7 linked regions of the Macaca mulatta genome follow. Each later gene encodes a partner of the first gene's protein in a complex. Links are inferred from orthologs where the notes say so. Each region holds a gene or a part of one and is shown in the gene's direction. Other genes may lie near its edges.

The links.
Region 2: STRIP2 (region 1) and STK24 share a complex: the UniProt entries of both Homo sapiens proteins name them as parts of the core of STRIPAK complex. The link is inferred for Macaca mulatta from reciprocal best matches to the Homo sapiens genes STRIP2 and STK24.
Region 3: STRIP2 (region 1) and STK25 share a complex: the UniProt entries of both Homo sapiens proteins name them as parts of the core of STRIPAK complex. The link is inferred for Macaca mulatta from reciprocal best matches to the Homo sapiens genes STRIP2 and STK25.
Region 4: STRIP2 (region 1) and PPP2CA share a complex: the UniProt entries of both Homo sapiens proteins name them as parts of the core of STRIPAK complex. The link is inferred for Macaca mulatta from reciprocal best matches to the Homo sapiens genes STRIP2 and PPP2CA.
Region 5: STRIP2 (region 1) and STK26 share a complex: the UniProt entries of both Homo sapiens proteins name them as parts of the core of STRIPAK complex. The link is inferred for Macaca mulatta from reciprocal best matches to the Homo sapiens genes STRIP2 and STK26.
Region 6: STRIP2 (region 1) and PPP2R1A share a complex: the UniProt entries of both Homo sapiens proteins name them as parts of the core of STRIPAK complex. The link is inferred for Macaca mulatta from reciprocal best matches to the Homo sapiens genes STRIP2 and PPP2R1A.
Region 7: STRIP2 (region 1) and STRN4 share a complex: the UniProt entries of both Homo sapiens proteins name them as parts of the core of STRIPAK complex. The link is inferred for Macaca mulatta from reciprocal best matches to the Homo sapiens genes STRIP2 and STRN4.

Annotation. Positions count from the first base shown.
Region 1 is NC_133408.1:169,105,831-169,109,330, forward strand, and holds part of STRIP2 (striatin-interacting protein 2), read left to right. Parts: intron 1-2,138; coding exon 2,139-2,213; intron 2,214-3,216; coding exon 3,217-3,314; intron 3,315-3,500. UniProt on the Homo sapiens protein: Plays a role in the regulation of cell morphology and cytoskeletal organization. Required in the control of cell shape. Calmodulin-binding scaffolding protein which is the center of the striatin-interacting phosphatase and kinase (STRIPAK) complexes.
Region 2 is NC_133422.1:93,164,386-93,167,885, reverse strand, and holds part of STK24 (serine/threonine-protein kinase 24), read left to right. Parts: intron 1-1,693; coding exon 1,694-1,839; intron 1,840-3,500. UniProt on the Homo sapiens protein: Serine/threonine-protein kinase that acts on both serine and threonine residues and promotes apoptosis in response to stress stimuli and caspase activation.
Region 3 is NC_133417.1:146,800,741-146,805,028, reverse strand, and holds the start of STK25 (serine/threonine-protein kinase 25), read left to right. Parts: upstream 1-1,488; intron 1,489-1,544; coding exon of another isoform or gene 1,545-1,877; coding exon 1,878-1,907; exon of another isoform or gene 1,908-2,257; intron 2,258-4,288. Other genes in the region: uncharacterized protein LOC106992798, read right to left, coding at 822-1,488, 1,545-1,879. UniProt on the Homo sapiens protein: Oxidant stress-activated serine/threonine kinase that may play a role in the response to environmental stress.
Region 4 is NC_133411.1:143,126,130-143,130,393, reverse strand, and holds the start of PPP2CA (serine/threonine-protein phosphatase 2A catalytic subunit alpha isoform), read left to right. Parts: upstream 1-1,464; 5' UTR 1,465-1,675; coding exon 1,676-1,777; intron 1,778-1,969; exon of another isoform or gene 1,970-2,102; intron 2,103-4,264. UniProt on the Homo sapiens protein: Catalytic subunit of protein phosphatase 2A (PP2A), a serine/threonine phosphatase involved in the regulation of a wide variety of enzymes, signal transduction pathways, and cellular events.
Region 5 is NC_133426.1:138,491,849-138,496,091, forward strand, and holds the start of STK26 (serine/threonine-protein kinase 26), read left to right. Parts: upstream 1-1,443; coding exon 1,444-1,485; intron 1,486-4,243. UniProt on the Homo sapiens protein: Serine/threonine-protein kinase that acts as a mediator of cell growth. Modulates apoptosis. In association with STK24 negatively regulates Golgi reorientation in polarized cell migration upon RHO activation.
Region 6 is NC_133424.1:64,406,338-64,409,837, forward strand, and holds part of PPP2R1A (serine/threonine-protein phosphatase 2A 65 kDa regulatory subunit A alpha isoform), read left to right. Parts: exon of another isoform or gene 1-677; intron 678-821; coding exon 822-1,054; intron 1,055-1,685; exon of another isoform or gene 1,686-1,701; intron 1,702-2,549; coding exon 2,550-2,697; intron 2,698-2,819; coding exon 2,820-2,975; intron 2,976-3,500. UniProt on the Homo sapiens protein: The PR65 subunit of protein phosphatase 2A serves as a scaffolding molecule to coordinate the assembly of the catalytic subunit and a variable regulatory B subunit.
Region 7 is NC_133424.1:59,223,516-59,227,699, reverse strand, and holds the start of STRN4 (striatin-4), read left to right. Parts: upstream 1-1,384; 5' UTR 1,385-1,417; coding exon 1,418-1,699; intron 1,700-1,763; exon of another isoform or gene 1,764-1,855; intron 1,856-4,184. UniProt on the Homo sapiens protein: Calmodulin-binding scaffolding protein which is the center of the striatin-interacting phosphatase and kinase (STRIPAK) complexes.

The DNA of each region.
Region 1 (3,500 bases):
GAACACAGGGCCGAGGGCCGGGATCCTACAGATAGAGTCAGAGAGGTGGCCTAAGGCCACTTTGCCAAGAGCCTGTAAGCAAAAGTAGAGAGCTTGAAGTAGACTCACAGTCAAAGGGAAGGAAGCCTTTGGAGATTTTAAGCAGGGGAGTGATATGATCTGATTTATGTTTCTAAAAACATCAGCTTCTGTGTAAAGATTGGACCAGAAAAGTGTAGACCCACTCCAGGGAGATTAGTTAGGAAACCCTTGAAGTAGTCAAGGTGAGAGATGATGCCGACCTGGATTTAGAGATGTAGCTGACAAGACTTGCAGTGCATTTAGATGTGGTTAGAGAGGCAAAGAAAGGAATCAAGAATAAGTACCATTTGCCAGGATGTGGGGGGAATATCAAGAGTTCTGTTTTGGTCATACTAAGTTTTAGATGCCCATTAGATACCCATGTGGAGCTGCAGGCAATTGGAAATACAAGTCTAAAATTCTAGGGAGAGGGCTGACTTTGAGAAATAAATTCGGAAGTTGTTTGTAACACTTATAGGCAGTGTTAAAGGCCATAGAACTGACTGAGATAACCCAGGGAGGGAGTAGAGACAGAAGAGAATGGAAGGCAGGACAAAGTCCTGGGGCACACCAGTATGTTGAGGTGGGCATGTGTCAGGAAAGGAGCCAGAAGAGTACGAAAGACAGTGAAGTGGCTGGAAATCCAGGAGATTATGATATCATAAAAGCTAAGAAAGTCTTTCAAGAAAAAAGGAGTGATCTGCTGGGTAAAATGCTACTAATAAGTGGCATTATGGTAAGAACCAAGGTGCCCATTGGATTTGGCAACATGAAGATAATGACCTTGATAAGAGCAACTGTAAGTGAAGTAGTGGGACTGAAAGCCTAATTGGTATGTATTGAAGGGAATGTCAAAAAAGGAGGTAGATGATATAAAAGTTTTGTGAAGAGGAGAGAAAGTGGATGGTAGCTGAAGGAGAATGTGAGGTCAAGGGGAGGATGTTTTATAGCTGAGAGATACTAGAACATTTTTTTTTGTCCTAAAATAAATGATCCAAGAGGGGATAATTGCAGGACTGAGGCATTCAACAAAGCAAATGGGTGTGGGATCCTGAGCACAAGTAGGAGACTGGCCTTTGTTCGAGCACAGGCGGTTCATCCTTCATGTTAAGAAGGAAGGAATAAGACTCTTTGTAGATGTAGTGTTGAGAAGATGAGTGTGTGCCTGTCTGAGTGCTTCTGTTTTCTCCATGAAGCGTGAGGCAGGATCAGCAACTGTTTAGGCATGGTGGGCAAAGGAGTTGGTTTGAGGAGAGGGAAGATGGTTTGAAATCGGCCTTTTGGAGAGCAGGAAGGCAAACATGCCAGGATTGCCAGGCTCCGCTGAATGTCCATTTAGGACTTACATCCATTTAAGCAGCAGATGAGTTGTGTGGGACAGAAGGAGGCTGGTTATTCTTCCCTGGCTCAGGGTCTCATGGTAGTGAACCCTTGCCCTGTAATAGAGAGACCTTGTAGGAGGAAGGAAACTGCATTGGTCAAAGATGACAGTGGCCTGAGCAGCCTATTGGGTCCCTGAGGCCCCAGCCTCCTCACTCTGATAAAAGGCTTAGTTAATGTCATCAATAGGACAGAGATAGTTATATATGAGGGGGCTGGTCAGAAAGGAGAAAGTGATGTAGGGGTGAATGGAGAGGGGAAGAAAATCATTTCCATCCACTTAAAAGCTTCTTTGCTGATATTCCTTCCTGTTTCACCAGGCCATATGTTACCCAACTTCCTTTTAAACCCTCACTATTGAGCCACCTACCTCTCCTTCCAGGCTTACAGAATGTTCTAGAGTTCTCAGCCTCAGATCAACACTATAGGAAGTGCTTCTGTAGCATCTGTTCCAGTTTCCCAGGTCCTGAGAGGTCATCCAGGCCAACCTGATGGTCCTATTGAAGAGAAAACTAGGACTCAGAGAAGGAATGTGACTTATCCAAGGTCATACAGTGAGTCATTAACACAGCTAGGGCAGAAACCTAGATCTGACTCCCAGCTTAGTGCTCTTTTCAGGTCACCCCTTACAACCAAGAAAATAAAGCCTTTGGTCACCTGGAAAGTGGCATTGGCAAACCATGTATTTCTTGCCATAGGGGGAAGAGGTGGTACCAGAGACGCCATGTGAAATCCTCTACCAGGGAATGCTGTACAGCCTCCCTCAGTATATGGTAAGGAGATGGTTAGGCCAGAGCTGCCCTTCTCTGCTACAAGGAACAGACAGCTAAAAACCATTTCAAGCGGACCTGTCCAACACTTGAACTTGTTTTCTGAGCCTTTGTGCCTTTGGCAAGGCATTCTCTGACACGTGAAAATTCTGAGCTTTCCTCAGTGCTCCTCTGATGGTGCTGTTCTCCCTAGTCCTTCTTTGGGAAGGGTGGGGAATAAGTTGGGGTCTCTACAGGATACACTGGGGACCCACCCTCCTCCGAGATAAGTACTGTAGTCCCTCTGAGATCTGCTGTGGTCTGTCATGTACTAGATAGCCTCAGGCTGGGAGTGGGGAAGATACCAATGGTTCGGGTTAGAGGAAAGAAAAGAGTGGGAGAAGTTGGGCTTATGCCTCCCACCTTATTTCTACACACTGTCCCTCTCACTCTGTTCCTTCCATCCTCCCCTTTGAAAAGAACAGTCTTTTTTTTTTTTAAGTGGAGTCTCACTCTGTCGCCCAGACTGGAGTGCAGTGGTGCGATCTCGGCCCACTGCAACCTCCACCTCCCAGGTTCAAGTGATTCTCCTGCCTTAGCCTCCCGAATAGCTGGGATTACAGGCATGCGCCACCACACCAGCTAATTTTTGTATTTTTAGTAGAGACGGGGTTTTACCATGTTGGCCAGGCTGATCTTGAACTTTCGACCTCAAGTGATCTGCCTGTCTTGGCCTCCAAAAGTGCTGGGATTACAGGCATCAGCCACCATGCCAGGCCCTGGAAAGAACAGTCTTAAAGCAGAACAGCCAATGCGCTCCCTCTGGCTTTCTCCTTAGCCTCACAGGCAGGCCTCTCAGGACTGGGCACCTGTTTGCTCTTCTGGACGCTGGGGAGATATGGTCATTGAGGGAAGAACTTGGAGAATGGCTTTAAAACACTTTTTATAGGGCAGTTAGGGTGCAGAAGAATCACTCCCTTGCTGAGTGGATTTGACAGTGGTGAATTTCTTTATTTCTACTTCCCAGATCGCTCTGCTTAAGATTCTGCTGGCTGCAGCTCCCACCTCCAAGGCTAAGACAGACTCTATCAATATCCTGGCAGATGTCCTACCTGAGGAGATGCCGTGAGTGCTTCAACGGGGGCAGCTGCTGGATACTAGCTGTCTTGTCTGCAGGCTCTCTCTAGTCCCCACTCACCTTGTTAACACTTACAGAGATTGTCTCCAAAGAGATCTCCTCCTCTCTGCCCACCAGTACTCCCTTCCCCCTTCAGGGCTTTCTGCTTTGCTCTTTTTAGCTCAAAACTCAGG
Region 2 (3,500 bases), on another chromosome or scaffold:
TAGCACCATATGTCCTTGTTTTGTTTCGGAGTTTTCCAGCAGAGTTAGCTGAAGGCCAAACTGAGCCCCCCTTTTCTTAACTCTTGTGTAAAAACGGATCACGAGGTCAGGAGATCAAGACCATCCTGGCTAATATGGTGAAACCCCGTCTCTACTAAAAATACAAAAAACTAGCCAGGCGAGGTGGCAGGCGCCTGTAGTCCCAGCTACTCGGGAGGCTGAGGCAGGAGAATGGCGTAAACCCGGGAGGCGGAGCTTGCAGTGAGCTGAGATCCGGCCACTGCACTCCAGCCTGGGCGACAAAGCGAGACTCCGTCTCAAAAAAAAAAAAAAAAAAAAAAAAAGTGGTTACTTTTACAAGAGCACCATGGTTGCCTAATATGCCAGTTTTGGTAAAAGAATTACATGAGGAATGCAACATTTTCTAAGCACCTCTGGGGAGATGCAGGCTGAGACCACCACACCAGCATTTGATGACTACATCAGCATCTTGTGGTAGTGGGGCTTGTCCTGCATGCCACGATGCTCTGCATTTTATTACAAGATGATGTTTGTTGCAGCCACCATGCACCAGCACTGGTGGAGATACGTGCAGGCATGTCTTCCCTTACAAAGCATGTGTCTAGTATGGGCTTATGCTCCAGCACACAGAGCTCCACCCCACAGCTACCGAGGAGCTGGCTGAGAGGCGAGACTACGAGCACCTCCGGGGTAGCTGGGGTTTCACCCTTGGGTGGACGGGGAGGGAGAATACTCAAGGGTGATCCAGGTTTCTCATGAGTTTGAATCTGAAAACGTGCTTGGCTTTTGTAGTCAAGCTTTTGTAATTTGGAGTGAGTGGGAATTCGGTTCGACTCGGTATTTGGGTGTTCCTGGTGTCTATTCCAATTTGGGCTGTGCTGGTTTCCTTGGGAAGCACATTCCCTGTCACTGTCGCCATCCTCAAGGCAGGCAGCTGACCAGGTGCTGAGCCCAGGGCATGGGTGAAGTCTTCAGCCCAATCACAAGGGAAGGGAGGGACCTGGGAAACAGCCCTTCTCAACTGGGAAAGTTGGTGATGCAGAGCGCCCAGCTGCTCTTTCAGCAGACAGGAGAAAGGGCATCTCCTGGCTCCTTTCCGGTTTCTTTGAGAGAATTCCAAATTGACGTTTCTATTATATGGTTGGATGTGGCCAAACGTTAAAAAATTGGGTATAGTGGCTCAGGCCTGTAATCCTAGCTACCCAGGAGACTGAGGTAGGAGAATCGCTTGAACTGGGGAGGTGAGGTTGTAGTGAGCTGAGATCGCGCCACTGCACTCCAGCCTGGGCAACGAGCAAAACTCCATCTCAAAAAAAGTTAAAGCGACATAGAACATACATTCTGTCAGCTATTTGCCATAAAGTATTTCATAAGCTAGGAGATAAGGTCTCTTAAATGATCCCTGTGAAGCTCTGTGCAGAGGTTTCTGTGGAAATGCATTTATTAGGGACCTCCTTAGAAAGTCACTGCCCTGCCCACCATGGTACCTGGAGCCCAGGCATAGGTCCTGAGCGCCTCGTCTTTGGGTGAGTCACAGTGAGAAGAGGTGCGGAGTAGAATCGCAGCCATCAGGTGTCAGTGTGGCGGGTTGACATTTTGAGGCAGAAGTCTGTCCTTTGGGGTGGGATCAAGAGCTTCATCTCATATTTTGTTGTTGTGTGTGTTTTTCCAGAGACCCACTGCTAAGGAGTTACTGAAGCACAAGTTTATACTACGCAATGCAAAGAAAACTTCCTACCTGACCGAGCTCATTGACAGGTACAAGAGATGGAAGGCCGAGCAGAGCCACGACGACTCGAGCTCCGAGGATTCAGACGCGTAAGTTGGCCCCTGAGCGACCCGAGCGTGTGTGTGGGAGGGACCCACTGGTCTTTGTCACTTGTTTGGTGTGGGTTTCGTTTTCTGTTGAGTTTTTTTTAGACAATCCAGGCTGGTGGCGGTTGCTGTGTTAGCCACATCCTGGGCCTGTTGGGGAGCTGAGCCTCTGGATGTTGCTGGTGGAAGTTCTACGAGTGAACTCTGTGGCAGAGCTGTGCGTAGGGAACTGGACCTGGCTGTTTGATTCTGTTTTGTTTCGTTCGGTTCTGCTCTGTTTTGTTTTCCATTACACTTTCTGTTCTTAAAATCATGATCAGGTGAAACTGCTTTTCATGGATGTCTGAAAGGCCAGAAATGCACGTGTTTGTGATTCTCTGTTGTGTCTGGTAGAAGCTTCTGTACCAGCGGTGACTTTCTGAGAACTGCTGTCAAGTTCGGCATCTAGGAATTCCCTTGGCTGAAGAGGCGAAGCGGGGCTGGAGCCATTTGTGTGGCGAGGGCTGGGGAAGGCGGTCGGGTAGGCTTGTGTCTGGAAGTCCAAGCCTGGGCTCGTCTGTTCTCGTGCATGCCTTGGCAGCAGTCAAACTTGGCCCACAGTGCAGGTCCATGCGCCAGGCCAGATGAATGAGGATTTCCGGGGGTGACACCCTAAGTGGGTTTTCAGTGTCTCTAGGTGATGGCAGTTTAAAGCCAAGTTTGAGACCACTGCCCTCGGAAGTTCCTGAGGCACTGCCATTGGGAGATTGCCGGGGTAGCGACAGGGATGACAAGATAGAGAGACTGGAGAGAGGTTTGAGAGCCAGGACGTGGCGGTGGATTTGGGTGAAGGAGGGAAGCCCACGTTCCAGGCTTGGGCAGCGTGGCCACAGGCGTTGTGATGTGTGGTGCAGGAAGCCGAGTGTGGGGTGGACCATGTATGAGTCTGAGTTGTCCAGGAGGAGACGTCCTGTGTGAAGTGGCACCGAGGTGTGGCGTTCAGGTGAGAAAGCTGGGCAGGTGAAGTGGGCTTAGGGGCCACTGCTCTGTGGAGGTCACTGGAGCCAAGAGAACAAAGGGTGTCAGTCGGGGCGTGTGGGGGAGTGAGGCCGGCCCCTAGGGAAGCCGGCGTGAGGGTGAGGCTCCGCCTGTGAATGAGAGGGGAGAGGTGTGGCCGAGGGGCGGGAGGAGGTGCAGGCTCAGTGGGGCCACAGGCGTCAGGATGATGAGCAGGGCCAAGGGCTCATTGCCTCTGAGGCCCACGCAGGACAGGGAGTCAGCACACATCTCATGATGGGGGAGGGAGTGCTCGGAGGGACACCGGCGGGCTTTGGAGCGAGTGGAGGGTACCAAATAGAGGCAGTGAGTGTGGATCCTGGAACCGGGGCTGAGAGACGGCCGAGGTGAGGCCGAAGTGTTGGAATGACAGGCACGAGCCACCACACCCAACACAGGGACATCTGCTTTCCTGGTGAGAGGAGGAGCCCAGCAGAGAGAAGCTGATGGCCCAGAGATGGGCTCCCAGGGAGGCGGGGGAGGTGTCCTCCAGGAGGAGGAGGAGAGTGGGCACGCACACGCTGGCACACCAGGGAGGTGCGGGAATCACCTCGCGATGGTCTCGTCTCTGTGAGGGAGGAGGCGGGGCATCTCTGGAAAATCCCCAAGGGACTGGACATGGGTGTTAT
Region 3 (4,288 bases), on another chromosome or scaffold:
CTGGGCACAGCTCTGCTTGCAGGAAGCCCACTTCCTCCTGGGGAGTCAAAGCACAAACAAAACCAAGTCAGTATGTCAACAAGCAGGGGTGATGAGATGGGGACCCAGGGGTTCAAGGGGCTGTCCTGGATGCATGACAGGGAAACATGGCTTCTTAAAGGACTTGGCAACGCACCATGAGAAAACACGCACCAGGGAGCAAAGAGAAACGCCAGAACCCTCTTGAGGAAGGAGGGGTGTGAGGTGGTCAGGATAGTCATCTGTGCTGAGCCATCATGGAAACTGAGGGCCTGTAAGGGTGGACACAGAGTGGAGGACAGACAAATCTTCCTCACCGGACAGGTGGGGATCCCTGCGGTGCACCAGGGGAATGCACACAGGGGGCACTATGACCTGGCGGCCCACGGGGCAGGGGGGTGCACCAGGTAGCCTTGGGCTCTGCAAGTCCCTCCCTGACCTTGGGGAGGTGACCCCAGTGCCACGACGGTTTCCAGCAGCAGTCACTGTCCTGGGCGGGTACCGCGCTCTAGCCCAGGTGGGTCCCACAAAGGTGTGACCAAGGATGTCCTATGATCACCCCTTTACAGGTAAGGAAACTGAGGCAGAAGATGCGAAGCTCGCGCAAGGAATGGGCTGTGCAGGTAGCTTCTCCAAGGCTTGCTGCGCCCTGGCCTGTGCGCATGATCCCGAGCGGGGTCTCGGTGCGAACAGGGGTTTCGCGGTGTGACCAGCGCCGGCTTATCTCCGAGCCGTGAGGACAAGGCCAACAGCCTGGGCGGCCGCGGTGGATCCTCGGGGCGAGGCGGGGAGGGCGCGGGGCCTTACTGGCCAGCTCGGACCAGGGCTGCGCAGGGCAGAGCCCAAGGGAAACGCCGCGCGGCCGCCGTCACGTCGGAGACGACGCCCTGCAGGCGCCAGCAGACGCAGAAGGCCAGCGAGGGCGAGGCACGGAAGACGCGACGCGACAACGACCACGTGCCCCGCCTGCCCCGCCGCGCGCCCTGCTGGGAGACGCAGTCCAAGCCTTTCGGGAGCCGAACTCGGGGTCCCAGAGAGCCTCGCGGCGCGCATGTGAGCCCCGCCCCTCTCTCGCGGCCTGCCGGGACTTGTAGTGCAACGCCAGCAGACTTCCGGGCCCGGAATGGGCGGTGGGACTCGGGGTCCCAGAGAGCCTCGCGGCGCGCATGTGAGCCCCGCCCCTCTCTCGCGGCCTGCCGGGACTTGTAGTCCAACGCCAGCAGGCTTCCGGGCCCGGAATGGGCGGTGGGACTCGGGGTCCCAGAGAGCCGTGCGCGGGCCGCGACGCCGAATACCGCCCTCGCCGTCGCCTCCTCCGGGCTTTCTCCTGTCGCTGCCGCCACCGCCGTTGCTTCGCGGGCTGGGAGGCCCGGGGTCCCCGGGCGAACAGAGGCTGCGGGTGGGAGCCTTCGCGGGCGCTGCAGAGCGGGCCGGGGGAGGCCGGGATGGAGCCCCGCGGAGGTGGGCGCGCTGCCGGGCGCGCGTTAGCGGCGATTGGGGAGGGGGCGGAGGGAGGGGCCCGGGGCGGGGCTCGGTGGCGGGGACTCCGGGGCGGGGGCACCGGGAGGAAGCTGCCTCGGAAGAGGTGGGGGCGGGGACGGGAGGGGCGGCGAGTCCCCGGGAGCCTGGGCTGTAGGCCCGGGCGTGGCGGGGCCCCGATGGCCTGGGGGTCTCCTGGGGCCCCCCTCCAGCCCGCCGCCCCGGAGCTAGGTCTCAGATGACTGAACTGGGCGCCGACCGCTCCTGCTGTCCCTCGCAGTGGACTGACGCCGCAGGGGCGAGCGAGCCGGCTCCACGCCTCTCCGCGGGATCCAGACGCCTCTCGGGGCTGTCGGCGGAGGGTCTGAGGCGGCCCGGCCATGGCTCACCTCCGGGGATTTGCCAACCAGGTGAGGAGGGTGCAGTTCAGGAAGACTAGCGGCCTCTCAGCGAGGGGCGCCAGAGCTTCCCGGGGGCTCCGAGGGGCGCCTCGCCGGAGCGGGCGGTGGGTGAGGGAAGGAGCGCGCGTCGTGCGACCAGCGGAGCCGTCCTGAGGTGGGCGCAGGGCGGCCCCCGGGCTCTGCCGTGTGCTTGTGGCGTTTTGCGTGGTAGGAGCTCGCAGACCTCTTGACACCGAGCCCCGGGTGGCTCCGCCTGTGCGAGGGCGGCGGAGGTGCGTGAAGAGACACCGGCTCCGGGACAGGACGCTGCCCCCAGCGCGGGGCGGGAACCTCGTGTCGGCATCTGAAGGCAGTGGAAGGTCAGGGGCCACACTGCGGCCTGAGCCCGGGCCACGGGTCGTTCCGGCCGTTCTGGCCGTGTTGGGCTGGGCGGGGGCCGTAGAGGAGACCCTGATGGGCGCTGAGGGGCTGGGAACGTGGAGAAGCCGATCTGAGCGGCCGGTGTGCAGGGAAAGCGGAGAACGCGTGTGTGCTTTGGCCCAGGGGAAGGTGAAAAGGCTGCTCTGTTCAGAACCGTTTAACCCCTGCTACGGGCGGTTGCCCGAACAGGAGGCTCGTCATTCCTCTTTGAAGAAGTCGGTTCCACTATGGAGCCACTTTGAAGCGTCTGGTGGGACAGCCTCGGAAGGAGCCACTACAGCGAGCCCTTAGTCTGGAATGAGGACCAGCTGCTGCTGCCACAGGGCATGCCAGGGAAGGAGGGTGGGGACAGCCAGCCTGGGACCTGGAGACTTGCACTGTGTACCTCTCCCCATTTTTTTGACTCTGGCTGCTGGGTTTTTTTACGTCTTAGCGTTCGGTTTTGCTCTCCTTGATGCCTTGGCTCTGCCTAAGGTGTTGGAATCGCCGCTAAAATGTGTGGCCCTCCTTGTTCACTCCTCTGTGCTGAATTCCTGAGAGCTGGGTGTGCAGTGGAACAGGAAGGGCGTCTGTCCGCATAGGGGCAGGAACTGGAGTCAGGGCTGCTTTGGAGGAAACTGGACCAGCCTAGAGACCCGGAATACCGTGTGCAGCTCTTGGGCCAGGCAGCCTGGACCTGCGCGGTCACAGATGGGACTGGGGCTTGCTGACTGATGCTGAATTAAGCTAACAGATTTTTGACTTTCTGTATCTGGTAACTTACATGACTAAGGTGCTGGGAGAAAAATCTGTCACCAGTTTATTTTATTTTTATTTTTTATTTTTTTGAGACAGAGTTTCACTTTTGTTGCCCAGGCTGGAGTGCAATGGCGCAATCTCAGCTCACTGCAACCTCTGCCTCCCAGGTACAAGCCATTCTCCTGTCTTGGCCTCACGAGTAGCTGGGATTACAGGCGTGTGCCATCACGCCCAGCTAATTTTGTATTTTTAGTAGAGACGGAGTTTCACCATGTTGGTCAAGCTGGTCTCAAACTCCTGACCTCAGGTGATCTGCTTGCCGTGGCCTCCCAAAGTGCTGGGATTACAGGCGTGAGCCACCGTGCCCGGCCACCAGTTTATTTTTAAGAACTGCAGAAATAGCTCCTTTGGGTCACGGGATGAGAAATTGGAGCTCTGAGGTGCCCTGTGACTGTGTGCTGTTGGTTCTTGGTGCGATCAGACCCAGGGAAGGGAGTGGGCGCGCACTGGGGAAGGGAGTGGGCGCACTGGGGAAGGGAGTGGGTGCACTGGGGAAGGGAGTGGGTGCACTGGGGAGGGAGTGTGGGCGCACTGGGGAGGGAGTGTGGGTGCACTGGGGAAGGGAGTGGGCGCACTGGGGAGGGAGTGTGGGCGCACTGGGGAAGGGAGTGTGGGCACTGGGGAAGGGAGTAGACGTACTGGGGAGGGAGTGTGGGCACTGGGGAAGGGAGTAGGCGCACTGGGGAAGGGAGTGTGGGCGCACTGGGGAAGGGAGTGGGCGCACTGGGAAGGGAGTGGGCGCACTGGGGAAGGGAGTGTGGGCGCACTGGGGAGGGAGTGTGGGTGCACTGGGGAGGGAGTGTGGGCACTGGGGAGGGAGTGTGGGCGCACTGGGGAAGGGAGTGTGGGCACTGGGGAAGGGAGTAGACGTACTGGGGAGGGAGTGTGGGCACTGGGGAAGGGAGTGTGGGCGCACTGGGGAAGGGAGTGGGCGCACTGGGGAGGGAGTGTGGGCGCACTGGGGAAGGGAGTAGGCACACTGGGGAAGGGAGTGTGGGCGCACTGGGGAGGGAGTGTGGGTGCACTGGGGAAGGGAGTGGGCGCACTGGGGAAGGGAGTGGGCGCACTGGGGGGGGAGTGTGGGCACTGGGGAAGGGAGTGTGGGTGCACTGGGGAAGGGAGTAGGCGCACTGGGGAAGGGAGTGTGGGTGCACTGGGGAGGGAGTGTGGGT
Region 4 (4,264 bases), on another chromosome or scaffold:
CCTCGCCAAACAGGTTGTCTTGGATAAAGAAGGATTTTCAGTCCTGCTATTGGCTGATGGGACCTCCAGTGCCTTCTTCAGCCTGTTGGTGGGGATGACGCCCTCAGAGTGGCAGGTTGAGCACTCTCCTCCCAAGCATCGCTGAGCACTTGGGTGTGGAAGGGTTGCCTGATACTGAGGGTGGGGCGCCTGGAAGATAGGCGATCAGGTTCAGCTCTTGCCTTGCCCTTTATGGTTAAATGTTCTTTGGAAAGCTTCTATATCTCTCAAATCCTGGGGGCATTATGATCTTTCTTCTGCCTATCCTAAACCATCTTCAGCCAGTACTGTTGGGAGAATACAAGCTCCAGGGCAGGGTCCCTGGTCCGTCTGGATGACCCCTCTGGTTCTGGCACATAGCTGGCGTTCTATGGAACCAGGTATTTATCTAAAAGCAGGGACAGTGGAATGTGAAAACGTTTTGCAAACTCCAAAGCGATTCATAACCAGACAGAGGTCCAATCCTAGGGTATACGAGCTCTCTTTTAAGCACGGATCACAGCTGCTTCTAACGCCACCGAGACGCGGTCAGGACAGGTGCATCCATCTTCTCTGGGCTTCCCCTCTTAAAAGTAGGCCAGGGCGCGCAGCGGTTGAGGGTTTCTCATTCCCAGGGGGGAATCAAACTTGGAGGAAAGCAACCACGGGCGAGGAGCTGGGCGCGTGGAAGCGAGCCGCGGTCCGAGGCTCAAAGAAAAGCCCAAACCTCGCCCCCGCCATCGCGCCGGACGAGACACCTAAGTCCGGGGACAGGTATGTGCCGGGGAAGTCAGGTGCACTGCACGGCACTCCCCCGGTAGGTACACGCTCCTCCACCTACGAGTGACCTAATTACAAGGTGCCAGCCGCGCCCAGAGGTGGAGGTGGTTAATCCAAGCGGCCACTCGCTGCCCGTTCCTGCCCCCAAAGATGAGGGAAACCCACACGTTTACAGCGCCGCTGCACCCCGGATGAGCCATGGGGTCGCAATTCTCGTTTCCGTGATCGGGCTGCCAGGCCCCAGGTGAGGAGCTGAGTTCATCACCAGAGCAGCCTTCCCATGGGAACCAGTTCCAGGCCGTCAGTAGCCCCGGTTTCCACCCGGTCTGCGCCTGCGCGCGGTCCAAGTCCTCTCCTCTCAGGGTTTAGCGCTAAGGGATTAGTCCAGTTCGCCGCTGTGCGCACTGCGCATGCTCCAGCTCCATCCTTCCCTTCCCCCACCACCCCGCCCTCCGGGAGCCACGCCCAAAAAGTCAAGGCGCCTCAGTTACCAACCGGCTACGTCGCGCCTGCGCTTTGACCCCCAGTTTGCGCCCCAACTCCGGTTGTGCGGCCGCCCGGGGTGGGCTCTGCAGTTGCGCAGCTTGCTCCCCGGCCCTCTTCCCCTCCGCTCCCCGCCGCCTCCTGACGCCGGGCGTGACGTCACCACGCCCGGCGGCCGCCATTACAGAGAGCCGAGCTCTGGAGCCTCAGCGAGCGGAGGAGGAGGCGCAGCGGCCGACGGCCGAGTACTGCGGTGAGAGCCAGCGGGCCAGCGCCAGCCTCAAAAGCCGCCAGAAGTACAGGAGGAACCGGCGGCGGCGTGTGCGTGTGGCCCGTGTGCGGGCGGCGGCGCGGGAGCAGCGCGGAGCGGCAGCCGGCTGGGGCGGGTGGCATCATGGACGAGAAGGTGTTCACCAAGGAGCTGGACCAGTGGATCGAGCAGCTGAACGAGTGCAAGCAGCTGTCCGAGTCCCAGGTCAAGAGCCTCTGCGAGAAGGTGAGCTGTACTACGGCTGCGGACAGCTGCCGCGGGGCCAAGCCCGCCAAGGAAAAGGCGGCCGTGAGGAGGGTGCAACATGGCGGAGGCCTCCGGCCCGGGTCCCCCGAGCCTCCGAGACCGGCGCCCATCCCGGCCGGCGGCGGCTTCCGAGCGACCCGGCGCCCCCTGCCTCCCGCGCAGGGATTGGTTGTCGCCGCCACCGCCGCCTAAAATGGCGCCGTTCACCCGACTCCTGGGTTTTTGAGTCTCCCGGCCTTGGCGCCAGACGAGGTGGCAGGGGGAGCGGAGACCCTGTGGGTCAGCGTCGTGGACGGTTTTGAGGGTGAGCTGGCTTGGATTCTGCGGCTTGGGAATGGAGCCTGGGCCTCTACGGTGGGCTGAGTAAGAGTCTTTCCGCTTGTACCCAGGCCTAGTTAGGTCCAAAGCTGCCCAGAGGATCCCCACAGGCAGTCTTGTTAGACCATATCCCAGAACATATCTAAAGGTCACACAAGTTTAGTACCCCTTGGTGGCTTGTATTAAACTCACTAAGCGATCTTCTCCAGAAACCAAAGGGGTGTCTTTAAGAATTTAAAAATTATTCTCTTAACCTAATTTCTGCGAAGGTCATGGTGGTAGGTATAAGATAGGAGTTTAACTTATTTTTCATAGTTGGAAGAAATCGGGAATTTGGTGAGTCATACTACATAAGGAGCTTTTGGATTGGCAATCAAGTGTCACTTGAATCTATGATTTATATGCTGACTCAAAGCCTTCTCTAAGCTTAACACACTTGGCATTTTGCCATTTATTTTTAAAATGAACAACATAAAATGGAAGAGCGGTAAATTTTGTATCTTTGTTGCAAAAGTTACTTCATAGTATTTTGTGACTGCTGGTAGTAGTAGTAATAACTGTCGACTGAGATTGTATTCCAGACATTGTGCTTAGTGTTTAAATAATGTCTCACACTGAAAATAGAATGTTGTAGTCCACTTAACCCTAAACTTTATATTAGCTAATTCCGTTTTGTTTTCCCCTAGGGATTGGGGAAACAGGTAGCTAATTTAACTATTAGCTGTGTGTTGTATTTTTAAATTCTTGTAACTCAGTTTTCTAAAGTACACAAAATGCTGATCTCTGCTGTGAACATTTTAGCTTCCCTTTTCAAAATTAACTTTGCAGCATGTCGCTTTAGTACGGAATGGTGGAGTATCATATTAGCATTTTGTATTCGTGAAAAGAATCAATGGAAAACTATTACCCTGATCTGTTTGTGGTTTGATGTGAAAATTAGGTTCATGAGTTTGATGTATATGTTTTCAAGACAGGCTTTTTTAGAAGCCATGTTGTGAACAATTGGAATTTAAGTAAGTCAAATTTAGATTTATTTCTCCCAAGCCTGAACAAAACTACTACTAGTGGATGAGGTGGTACATCATTTGTTGGAGATGGCTTTTAATGGTAGCGATGTATTAAATCTCCTGTTTCTTTACCCTCTCACATCAAATGAGGTTGGTGTTTATTTTGAAGGTTTAAAATTGGCCTTTCAAAATGAATGTATATTGCCAGGTCTTAATTTCTAGGTACTATACATATGCCGATTTTTGGAACTCAGTGCATTATATGACTTTTAAGTCAATAGTTGGCCAGTTGACTAGTCTTTTGAAGAAAACATGGAAAGGAGGGAGGTAATGACGTAACTGAAAGACTGGACTGCGAGTTAGATTTGGACATGAATCCTTCCGCTCCTACTTGAGTAATTGGGAGAGACTTTGGGACAACCACTTAACTTGGTCCTTGTTTTCCTGTCTATAAATTAAAATGTGTTCTGAGATTATACAGTCAATTCCGTTTTAAATTAGTGTGTTTAATATTGAACACCTATTGAATATCCAAGATTGCATACTCTCTTGAGGGAAATGAAAAGCAATGAAGAATAAGTATGCTTACTGTCAAGGAGTTATAAATCTAGTTGGAAAGAAAAGCGTGGTATGAAAAGGTGTGGGAGATGGAGCATGGAAGTAGAGGGTTTGTGCTGGAAACTGTTGTAGAAGATAAGATATATCATACTGGATGCTAAAGTGGGGTGAGTGAAGCTAGTGCATCTAATATTGCTTTCCACATCTTTGTAAAACTAAGATGTAGTGAGGTGAATCTCCATTGCTTGCTCTGCTTACGCAAATTTTAGTTCTGAGTGCCAAAAAAGATGGAAATAATATTTGAGAGTAGGTGTTTTATATAAAAGTTTCCATGGAATGGATCCGTTTTGGTGGATGTCATTACACAACCTTCATACTGTTTATAACTGGTATTTCAACTTTGAGGATGATATTAAACTTCCAAACTAAATTAATTTGAAGACAGTTTTTTTGAGTATGTGGAATCCATGAACTGATATTTTTTGTACAAGTCTTTCTAATAAAACAAAAGCTGTCTTTCACTGTTAATGTTTGTGTGCCAATGGCATCTGTGGGTAAAAGCTACGTATGTGCTCTTTGGTGT
Region 5 (4,243 bases), on another chromosome or scaffold:
TTGATAAGAATCATATACTATTCTCTGAAAAAGATTTAAAAGGAAGAAGAGAAACTACCGTTTACCACTAGAGGCCCCCCACAATGTGGTGCGTAGAGACCCATAACAAATTTCAAGGTAAGGAACTTCATCTTCATTTAAAAGTGGCACTTGACTATTCCGTTTTTAAAAAGTAATTAACCCCTTACGTGTTCCCAAAGGTGCCTTCATAATGAAATTCCTGTTGCTATTATTACCAGTCTTACTGTCGCTACTGTTAGAGTACTCTCAAAACAGCCCGTCTCCCTCCTGAAGTGGAACTTAAAATGGGGCGGAGGCAGGGAGTTACCAAAACCACTGCAGTGTATGCTGAATTCAATAACCTGTACTGCTAACGATCCAATCTCATTTCCCAAACCTCTACTATCCTCATTAATTTTTCTGCCGACATACCGTCTGTTTTCCAATTTCCCTTTGCCTTACACGTGCAGAACTTATGGTAGAGAGAAGCCCCAGTTTGGCAGTTCTGCAAGTGATAGCCCAAGAGGTAGGGGGAATCTTAAGTTGAAGTCACCTGAAGCATGTCAGGGGTCAGGGAACTCGGAAAGCAAGAGTGTGGCCACGGATCTGCCAAGAAGCGCGACTCCCAACTGAGGAGACCAGATGGCGGGAAAAGGCGGGGGTCCACCGACTCCGCGGCTATCTGTGATCCTACCCTTGGCCAGGCCGGGGAGCCAAGAAAGACTTGCAACACTCCCCAAGTTTCAACTCAAGTCGTCTCCGAGGCTGCATGTGCCCCAGCCTCGCACGCCTCCCTGCAACGTGGCCGCATCTGGGGCGCCCTCATACCCTCAGGGTTTCCCAAACTCTTCCATTCTCTTCCCAGGCGCAGCCGTGTTCCAGGTCTCCCGGTCCCCGGGTTCTCCTCTTCGCGTGCCGGGAGAGTCTCCAGCTTCTCAGACTCCAGCAACCCCAGCCAAACCCCTTCGTTGCCTGGAGCCTCGGCTCCCGCGACACCGCCCGACTGCGGGGCGGGGGCAGGGCCAACGGCGGAACCGCCCCCAACCGCCTCCCCGGCCAGGCGAGCAGGCGGGTGGCTGGGGCGCCTCCACCTCCTCTTCCTAAAGCGGCGAGGCGCAGAGGAGCGGCATCACTCGAGCCCAGGTCCCAGCCACCACCACTCACAGCGCTCGGCGTTCAGGAAGAGGAGCAGCAGCGGAGGCGGCTGCTTCAGCGGCGGGCGGGCGCCAGAAAGGTAGACTGAGTCCCGGGCAGCTGCGCCGCGAACAGCCCACCTCCTAGCCCCGGGCTACGCGCCGCCAGCCCAGTAACCCCACTTTTGTGTGTCCTTCCAGGCCCCGATCGAAAAGCCTGGGAGGGCCGCCGAACTACCCCCGGAGGAGGAGCCAGTCCGAACCCAAGGCGCCACCGCCGCAGAAGCGGAGCGAGGCAGCAGTTGCCTCCATGGCCCACTCACCGGTGGCTGTCCAAGTGCCTGGGATGCAGGTGAGGAAGCGCAGGCCGCCCCCGCCGCCCACGTGACTACTTGGGAGCCCGGTGCGCTCTCGGTGCTGGGCACCGGCGACAAGGGTCGGCCCCAGGGCTCCCCTGAGGGCAGGGCCGGTCACTCTGGCCAGGTGACCTGGGAGTAGGGCTCGAGGTGTTTCCTGGTGTGTAGGCTAAGTAGTGCTCTTCGCTGGGAAGGCGAGGCGGGACTGAGGCGCGCAACTAGGTGGGGATTGAGGGCGGTTGGGGGTATAAAAATAGGCCAGAGCCACAGACACCTGCGCCTGCTGAGCTTGGCACGGTTGGGGATGGGGGGCCGGAACTTAACCTGGGAGAGATGGAAGTGCCTTGGGATTTGTGGGGTAAAACGCGAGTAGTGAGTGACCTACACCCCCCACCCCAAACACACACTCAAGTTGGGGCGGGGCAAGACCAGGGGTGGCGGCGGCGGCGGCTTGCATTGGGCTCTTCCTGTGTGCGTAGGGTTAAGAGAGAGGTGACCTCTTTCTCTCTTTCGGTACTGCTGCTTAAGGGCAAAGTTGTAGCTTGCTCCCCGACCCAGGCCAGCCCATAGTGTGGCGTGAGAAGTGCTGGTTCTGTTCAGAGTCGCTGAGGTGATGACTTCTCAGCCCCCTCTGTGCCTTTCCCACAAGATGACTGTTACATGTGGTTAAAGGAAGCTTTTTGTCTTGGACAAGGGACTACTGCATGGAACCCAACTTGTTACTCGAAGTCTACCCAGCCCAACCCCCTCCCATTATATTTTCATTTTATTAAAGGTAAGCTATGTCAGAAAACTTTTTATGCTGTTATGTTTTTAAATCGGTGCACTTTAGGCTATCTGCTAAATGTTACCCAAATCTACTAACTTTTTAAAGCGTTCATGTTCTATTTTTTTCCTTTGCTAGATGGCCCAAACAACCCATTTATGAATAGTTTAGAGGCTAAAACCACTAAAGCCTCAGTCCCTCATGATCTAAAATGTGAAAACAACCTTTTTTCAAATTCGAAAATAAAATGTTTAGTAGTAAATAGCTTATATTTCTAGTAGAAATCAAAGAGTTGTAGACTGGGGCCTCAATTTACTTGTTGATGCATGGAGTTCTTTTTTTGTTTGTTTTTCAGTGTTCTCATTTTATGAATGGCCACAAAAGTGATTTTTGAATTCTTTCCCAAAAAGGGATTATTTGTGCACCTAGAACTCCTGGTGTGTCCTAAACACCAGACATTTCAGCTGCATTTAGGGCAAGTCTGGGTTGAGTCTCAGGAAGTTAGTGTATATTAAATAAAGAGAGAGAGAGAGAGAAAGGGAAATAGGAAATAGTAGGGCTTAAAAAAGAAAAGATTAATCCACTCAAGCCTTGCAAAATGCCTCAAACTTTCTTCCTCTCAGGCGGCCTCCCCCCTCCTTCCCTCCCTCTTTTCCCCATGCACCCTGCCCCACACCCCATTCATTCAGTTCTGCCTTTGATTGTATCAAGGGAATTCATAGTTCTTAATACTAGTACAGTTTTGCTGTTTGATCTGGGAAAAAGTGACATTTTCTCACCGTGCTCTTCTTTCCATTCTGTGGAGAGTAAAACGATGCACATGTGAAGTTTGTCTGTGAGGGTCTCCATGCTTCTGGCTCCATTGTGTGCGCGAGCCTGCGTGCGTGCGTCAGCAGAGTGAGTGCCTCGCGTTCATCAAGTTTGTGATTCTGGGGAACTCTGTGTGCTGAGGGGAAAATAGTTTCTGATCTTTATTTTGTCTTGACCTTATTGAATTTATGTGGTTTAGGAACTGCTTGCTGTTCAGTATTTCTGATTGCTCCCTGCTTTAATTATCTGAGTTGCCTATCTCCTGAATTTTTAAATCTTAATTAATGTGGATTCGAATGTGAATCACATACTTTAAATTACAAATTCTGCCTTTCACTCTATGCCCTCTGAGTTGTGATTACTTTGTCCCACCTAATTTGAGTAGGGCAAACATCTCAATGTTAGCAAAGAAGAGAGGAATCTTTTTTTTTTTTTGGTCATTCTCTTCATCTTAATGAAATGGTAAATTCTTAACTTCTTATTTCCATTTTCTTTCTAATATAGTTCTTAAGCACTTTGTGCAGCACACAATTTTTTCCATAGTTGAAATTGTACAATACCTTAATAATAAATTTGATAGCATGCAGTGTGACTCTTGAACCTAGACTATTTTTATTATTGTTATGTAGCAAAATATTGCGGATGAGATGCAGAAATCTATTGTGAGCTTGTAAAATTCTCCTAGAGTTTTATGAAAGCGTCAGGAGCAACTTTTAGACCTTTAGAAAACTTGAGTTAGCCATGTGTTCTTGAAATTACTGTATAGTGTTTCCACAAATCAGGGTGAGGTGGCCGACCAGCCTATAACTTTTTAACAGTTTATTTTAGAGAATTATGTAGATTGATGGGAAAAATGATTTTTCCAGAAATAAAAACAAAATTGCTTTCTCCACAATTTTTTTCTCCCTCTGAGGAGAGATGTGGAGTAGAAGCTCAGCTACCTGTTCTATCACTTAAGACTTCCAGCATTCCTGACTTTCAAACAAAGAAATTGCTGTTGCCACTAGTTTAAAATAGAAAAGAAACTTGGAGTGAAGAAAGAAAACCCAGGATTTGGTCCAGTTCAAATTCTTCCTTTTGAATTGTTACTCAAACTCATATTGTTGATATTTCTTAATATTGTAGTAATGAATATTTTTGCCATATTACACCAAATGTTGAGGGTATGAAGTTTTTTG
Region 6 (3,500 bases), on another chromosome or scaffold:
ATTTCAAACCAGAGACCTCTGTACCTTTATTTGAACATATTGGGATAAGTTGAGTCTCCCTTCAGTAGGTCGCTAATTAAGAGTTCCTGTCTTGTGCTAAGAGTGCTGCTGGGCTCTGGGGATACAGTGGAGAGCCAGTCATATATATCTGAAGGAGCACAGTCATTCTAAGCCCACAGTAACAACCAGCGAGCCGTCCCGAGCCCCATAGTCCCCCAGAAACATGAGATCCCAATTCAGTCACCAGAGTTGTATGAGACAGCACAACTGTACCTGTTCATGGGAAACTCAGGTCAGGTTTTCGATCCTGACCTGTAGCTATTATTAGCTTGGGCAAGCCAGTCCGTACCTCAGTTTTCTCTTCTTTAAAATCAGGACTTGCTTTATAGAATTCAGTGAGGAAAAACAAGCACCCCTGGTACAACACGGTGGTCCTGCCTAGTACACACAGTGAACTGATGTTCTACGCAGTGTCAGTGATGATCATTGCACTTTGAGAGGCTAAGAACTTTCTCCTCAGAAAGTGATGTGTGTAATTTTCAGATTCATGGACCCCAGTGAAACTTCTTCAAGGACCCCTAAGTAAGAACCTTTGTGGAAGGCACGCTGACAGAGACCTTCTGCTGGCTGGCATAATATTACGTTTTTCCTTTGAATCATTCACTGCAACCATTTTAAAATGCTCTTTTAATGAAGGCTGGGATGGGTAATAGGGAAGGTTTCTCTGAGGAGATGAGCCCATGAGGGGGTTGCAGGATGGGGGTCCAGGGCCAGGGATGGTAGAGAGGGAGCTGTCCAGTGACTTCATATTCTCACGACAGCCACCCCTGGAGTCGCTGGCCACAGTGGAGGAGACAGTGGTGCGGGACAAGGCAGTGGAGTCCTTACGGGCCATCTCACACGAGCACTCGCCCTCTGACCTGGAGGCACACTTTGTGCCGCTGGTGAAGCGGCTGGCGGGCGGCGACTGGTTCACCTCCCGCACCTCGGCCTGCGGCCTCTTCTCCGTCTGCTACCCCCGAGTGTCCAGTGCTGTCAAGGCGGAACTTCGACAGTGAGTCTCTGCCCCCCTTGGAAGCTCCAAGCTCCCCCCTCAGCTCGGTCCCCTTCTCTAAAGCCTCAGCCTCCTTTCGGTCTGCCTAGGGCCCACACGCCCCTGAACTCTCTCCAGTCCCACTCCTGCTTACCACGTGGTAGGCCACATCCTTGAGAGTTGGTCTCTGGACACAGCCGCGTGTCAATTTACCACCTCTGCCCCCTTGCTCACTTAGGAATTGAGATGATGACAGGTCCTCCTTCCCACTGGTTAATGTGAGGATTTAAAAGAATTATCACATATAGGCCGGATGCAATGGTTCACGCCTGTAATCCCAGCACTTTGGGAGGCCAAGGCGGGTGGATCGTGAGGTCAGAAGTTCGAGACCAGCCTGACCAAGATGGTGAAACCCTGTCTCTACTAAACATACAAAAATTAGCCGGGCATGGTGGCGCACTCCTGTAGTCCCAGCTACTTGGGAGGCTAAGGCAGGAGAGTCGCTTGAACACAGGAGGCAGAGTTTGCGGTGAGCCGAGATCATGCCGTTGCACTCCAACCTGGGCGACACCAGTGAAACTCCGTCTAACAAAAAAAGGAATTATCACATATAAAGTGCTTAGAGCAAAATCTGGAACATAAAAACTTTCAGCACATCACATCTGATGGTGTCTCCAGCCTGTCCCAGGTCCGGTGCCTTTGGCAGGTAAACCACTTCAGTTTTCAGCCTCCTGCTCCTCTACTTTGCAAACAGTTGACCATCATGCCCAGGTTTGAGCCGTGGCTCACTCCAGAACTCTGATTTACGGCTGCACAGATGCTTAGATACTTACACTGGCCCTGACCATCTTTGACCGAAGCAATTGCTGCTGTAAAATAAAGCCTTTCTGTGGCTCTAGACTAGCCTCTTAGTTAAGCAGTTTTTTGTTTGTTTTTGAGATAGGATCTTGCTCTGTCATCCAGGCTGAAGTGCACTGATAGAATCATAGCCCACTGCAGCCTCAACCTCTTGGGCTCAAGCATTCCTCCTGCCTTAGCCTCTCAAATAGCTGGGACCACAGGTGTGCACCACCACGCTGGGCTCATTTTTTATTTTTGTTAGAGATGGGGTCTCACTATGTTGCTCAGGCGGGTCTTGAACTCCTGGGCTCAAGCAATCCTCCTGCCTTGGTCTTCCAGAGTGTTCAGATTACAGGTATGAGCCACTGTACCAGGCCCCTTGGTTAAGCAATTTTTATGGTCATGATAATGTAATTGTCAGCACTTACCATTGACTGGATTTATTATGTGCAGTCTGCGAAGTGTCCCACACACATTATTTCATTGAAACCTCATGCAGACCTGTGGGGTAGTTACTGTTACTATCAGCGCCTTTTCATAGGGCTGGGAAGACAGACGGAGTCATCACTTGCCCAAGGTCATTCAGCTAAATCCTGGACCCACACAACTGCAGTCTGTGCTTGCTCCTCTCTGCCGTACTGCCTGCTGCCTCATGATCCCCATCCCCGACTCCCAGGTACTTCCGGAACCTGTGCTCAGATGACACCCCCATGGTGCGGCGGGCCGCAGCCTCCAAGCTGGGGGAGTTTGCCAAGGTGCTGGAGCTGGACAACGTCAAGAGTGAGATCATCCCCATGTTCTCCAACCTGGCCTCTGACGAGCAGGTGAGTTTTGCTCCCTGGACCTCTCTGCTCTCACCTCCTTCTGCTGGTCCCTGCCCGTGAAAGAGAATCTCAGAGTTCAGCAAGGCCTCTGCTGCCCTCCTGCATTCCTCTCCTCTCCCCAGGACTCGGTGCGGCTGCTGGCGGTGGAGGCGTGCGTGAACATTGCTCAGCTCCTACCCCAGGAGGATCTGGAGGCCCTGGTGATGCCCACTCTGCGCCAGGCCGCTGAAGACAAGTCCTGGCGCGTCCGCTACATGGTGGCCGACAAGTTCACAGAGGTAGGTGAGCGACCGTTGACACTGTCCCACTGGTGGGGGACACTGACACCCTCAGAAGGGAAGCATATAGAAGCTGAGGTTTACCATTAGGCCGACGGAATCATTGGGCGTTTGAGCAATAAGATCTCTGTGATCGTCTAACTTCATCTCACTTTATATGCCAATCCTGGTTGATTGACATGGCATCTTGAAGTGCTGCCTTGAGAAGGATTCTGAGGCTAAGTTAAGGCTTCACGGAGGAAAGTGCCACAGGAGCAGAGAAGGGTAGCACATGTGGGGTGCTCCTGACATAATCAAGCTGTCCTTTCACAAAGGGGAAGACGCAGCCCAAAAAGGTGCAGTTTTTTGTTTGTTTGTTTGTTTTTTTGTTTTGAGACGGGGTCTCATTCTGTCCTCCAGGCTAGAGTGCTGTTGCCCAGCTGGAGTGTGGTGGTGCAATCTTGGCTCACTGCAACCTCTCCCTCCCGGGTTCAGGCAATTCTCCTGCCTCAGCCTCCTGAGGGACTGGGATTACAGATGCCCACC
Region 7 (4,184 bases), on another chromosome or scaffold:
CAGCAACCTATAACCATCCCTCTAGCATGAATGTGTCCAGAAAAGGTAGGGCTAGAAGCCAACAGAAGCTGTTACCATGACAACCCCCTCCCTAGACACACTCCACCTCTCAGAGATTCTTAAAACATCCCCTGGCCAGGGGTGATGGCTCACACCTGTAATTCCAGTACTTTGGGAGGCTGAGGCGGGCCTAAGGCTGATCACCTGAGGTCGGGAGTTCAAGACCAGCCTGACCAACATGGAGAAACCCCGTCTCTACTAAAAAAAAAAATTAGCCAGGCGTGGTGGCACATGCCTGTAATCCCAGCTACTCGGGAGGCTGAGGCAGGAGAACGGCTTGAACCAGGGAGGCAGGGGTTGTGGTGAGCCGAGATCGGGCCATTGCATCCCAGCCTGGGCAACAAGAGTGAAACTCCGTCTCCAAAAAAAAAAAAAAAAAAAAAATTCCCCTCCTTGGTTGGGCTTGGTTCCTAGGGTCACTCGAAGGGGGCTTCTCTATTACCATAGTAACCAGGCCTTGACCTTGCCTGTTTCTCGTCCCCCAGAGGATGGTCCAGGCCCTGTAACCATAGCAACTGCCCCTCAGCAGAGCATCTCCTCCTCTAAATAAAAACACCTGGTTGGTTTGGTGCATGGGCCTCCCACAATGGGAAGGGGAAGACGGTTACCATGGTAATGCCAACTAGGTGGCTATGGGGGAGGGGCTGGGGAAGACGTGCTTCTCTTAGAGATCAGCGTCTTTGGGGCTGGGGTACTTTCTACCTGAATGCTAGGTGTGGGGGGTTGCCATAGTAACCAATGAGGAAAGGAGCAGAAGGACCACCAGGGACTTAGGTTACCTTAGCAACCTTCTCCTGGTGCAGAGTCCGAAGAGGTTTGGGGCTCCATAACCACAAAGGTGGAAGGGAGGGGAAGGCTGTCCCCCACCAACTCGCCCCCACCAATGGGGAAAGGTTACCATGACAACCGACCTGGACAGGAATCAGAGAGGATGGGGCCACTGCTGGTCGCCCTTTCTCTCAGAGTAAAAGTAATTGTCCAGGAGAGTGATGTTTGGGTGTGGAAGGGGTAAGGCTCTTTTTCTGGGGCGGAGTAGGAGGAGGGGGGCAGAAAGTGGCCCCTTCCTCAGTCTCACTCCAGCGAGGGGGACCGTCGTGCGGGGTCTGGGTCTCCCTCGCCCTCCTCGGGGCGCGATCTCCCTCTCGCCGCCCCCCGCGCGGGCACGCTAGCCCTCGGGGTCGACCCGGGTGGGCGAGGCTCGTGCCCGGCCTCGCGCTCGCCACCAGCCCCTCTTCCCACTGTCCTCCGTCAGGCGCGCGCGCGGTGGTGGTGTGTGTGGTGCGGGGGGGGGGGGTGTTGGAGCGCCCGCGCAGGCGCGCGAAGCACAGCGGGCGCGCGGGCCGGCCCCGGGGCCTCCATGATGGAGGAGCGAGCGGCCGCCGCGGTCGCCGCCGCCGCCTCCTCCTGCCGTCCGCTCGGCTCAGGCGCGGGCCCTGGCCCCACTGGGGCGGCCCCGGTCTCCGCCCCTGCCCCCGGGCCGGGCCCGGCAGGTAAGGGAGGCGGCGGCGGAGGCAGCCCTGGGCCCACGGCGGGCCCGGAGCCCCTGAGCCTGCCGGGGATCCTGCACTTTATCCAGCACGAGTGGGCGCGCTTTGAAGCCGAGAAAGCCCGCTGGGAGGCCGAGCGCGCCGAGTTACAGGTGAGCGCCGTCCCGGGACCCCCGACCCCCCAACCCCACCCGGCCCGGCCCGGCCCGGCCTCACCCGCCGCCGCCGCCGCCGCCATCTTGGAGCAATGGCCGCCGGGACGGCCGGGGGGGGGCGGGAGGGGACCGCGACGGTCCCGGAGGGCGAGTGAGGGGCCGTCCGAGGGGTGTCCTGAGGGCACCCCGGGTGGGAGGGGACCGGGACGGCCCGAGGTGGGAGTGGAGGGACCGGGAGTGGGAGGGATCACCGGGACCGGCCGAGAGAGAGGGGCCGAGGTACCAGAACTGGCTGGGAGTGGGACTGGGACTGGAACTGAGCGCGCCGGCCGCGGGGCTCCTGAGAGAGGCGACTCGGGCCCTGGAGGGGAGCCCAAGAGAACTCGGGAAAGGGTGTGGAGAGGAGCTGGAGGGGTCTGGGAAAGACCTCAGTGGTCTCCTGTGGGAGTGAGCAGAAGCTCGGCGGGCGCAGAGGGACCCCCGACCCCGGCCCTAGCCAGGTGCAGGTGGGAAGTAGAAGCGTCCGAGGGGGGACTTGGGACACGCTGGGAAAGAGCGGATCCAGACCGGGAACCGGGAGGAGTTAGGGAGAGGAAGTCCGGGAGCCTGAGATGGGTGTGTTTCGGGGCGACTGGACAGTGGGCACGGAAGGGTGGCTGTGTAAGGACCCGAGAGGTGGGAAGAGAGTTTCGAGGGGTCCAGGATGAAGGTGTGTGCCTTTCCCTCTTAGGGGAAACTTTGGGGATCCCGGGCATGTGTGGCTGCAGAGTGCAGGGAAGGGATCTTTGGAGTGGAAGTGTGGACAGAGCAGGAGATGTACCCTAGGAGCCTGGGTGGGAGAACTTGAGAGTGGAAATTCCACTTGGGGGTGTGCAGGAGTGGGCGCGATGGCACTGAGATGGGACGTGTGTGTAGGATGTAGGAAGAGAACCCTGAACTGGAGTGTGGGGGTGTCGGGCATGTCCAGTATGGAGGTGAGGGTCCTGGGATGGTGCCAATGAGGACGAGTTAGGTGTTACCCTGGGGTGATGCTTTAAGGGGGAGAATTTTGTAGAGCCCGAAGGCAACATGAGGAGGCATCTCAGAGAGAACGGGGGTAGGGTGGGGTTGGGGGGAAGGAGATATGTTTGTGGAAGTCCTGGGAAAAGACCCCATGGTTTGTGGGGTAGCTTGGGACAGGGATGTGCTCCGGGCTGATGTATGGAAGAGTCTGAAGAGTTGGGCTGGGGTTTGTGACCTCGTGGAGCATCAGGTCCATTGGCAGTGACTGGAGGATCATGGAGATGTCCGGATTTGAAGGGATTAGGAATGGCCCACTGGAGGTCTGAAGATTCTTGGACTGGGTTATTATTAGCAGAAATTGTCAGTACTTTTCTGCTAGTATTCCTTGTAGCAGCCCACGTTTCCCCTTCCGATTTGCCGTTTTCTATCTAGTGGAAGCTGGCACCCAAATAAATAACTGATGAGAATTTTGTCGGTAGGGGTGGGGTGCGGTGGTTCATGCCTGTAATCCCAGCACTTAGGGAGGCTGAGGTGGGAGGATCCCTTGAGCCCAGGAGTTCCAGGCCAGCCTGGCCAACATAGCAAGACCTCATCTCTACAAAAAAGTACAAAAATTAGCCGGGCGTGGTGATGTGCACCTGTAGTCCCGGCTACTCAGGAGGCTGAGGTGGGAGGATTGCTTGAACCCCGGAGGTTGAGGCTGCAGTGAGCCGTGATTGCACCACTGCACTCCAGCCTGGGCGAAAGAGTGAGATCCTATCTCAGAAAACAACAACAACAAAAACGGTATTTTGTTCGTAGGATGAGTAAAGACCTCAAGTAACTCTCCCCCTGCCCTCACTTGTGGTGGCTGAGGCTTGGAGCTGGGGTGGGAGCAGAATCCTTATGTAACTGCTCTCACTTGTGTCCCACTCTCTACTTCCGAAGCTCTTTCCCAGCATACATCTCATCAGATCTTCTCAGTGCCCCGTGATGTAGGCAGAGGCAGTGTCATTACCTCACTCAGCAATAACGGCACCAGCTGCAATTTAGTGAGCACATACCATGTCTGGGGCTGTGTATCAAGTACTGTAGATACGAGCTGTCATTTCATTCTTATGGCCTTCTGGAAGGGTAAAGGATATTCCCCCTGCCTTTAAAAAAAAATCACGAGGAAATGGAAGTTTTGAGAGGGTGATTTATCGAGGATCCCAGCAGATGGGCAGAAGGGCTTGTCTGTGGACCTTTTTTTTTTTCTTTTGAGACAGTCTCACTCTGTCACCCAGGCTGGAGTGCAGTGGCATGATCTCGGCTCATTGCAACCACTGCCTCCCAGTTGCAAGCAATTCTCCTGCCTCAGCCTCCCAAGTAGCTGGGATTACAGGTGTGCACCACCACGCCTGGCTGATTTTTGTATTTTTAGTAGAGATGGGGGTTTTGCCACGTTGGTCAGGCTGGTTTTGAACTCCCGGCCGCCAGAGATCCACCTGCCTCGGCCTCC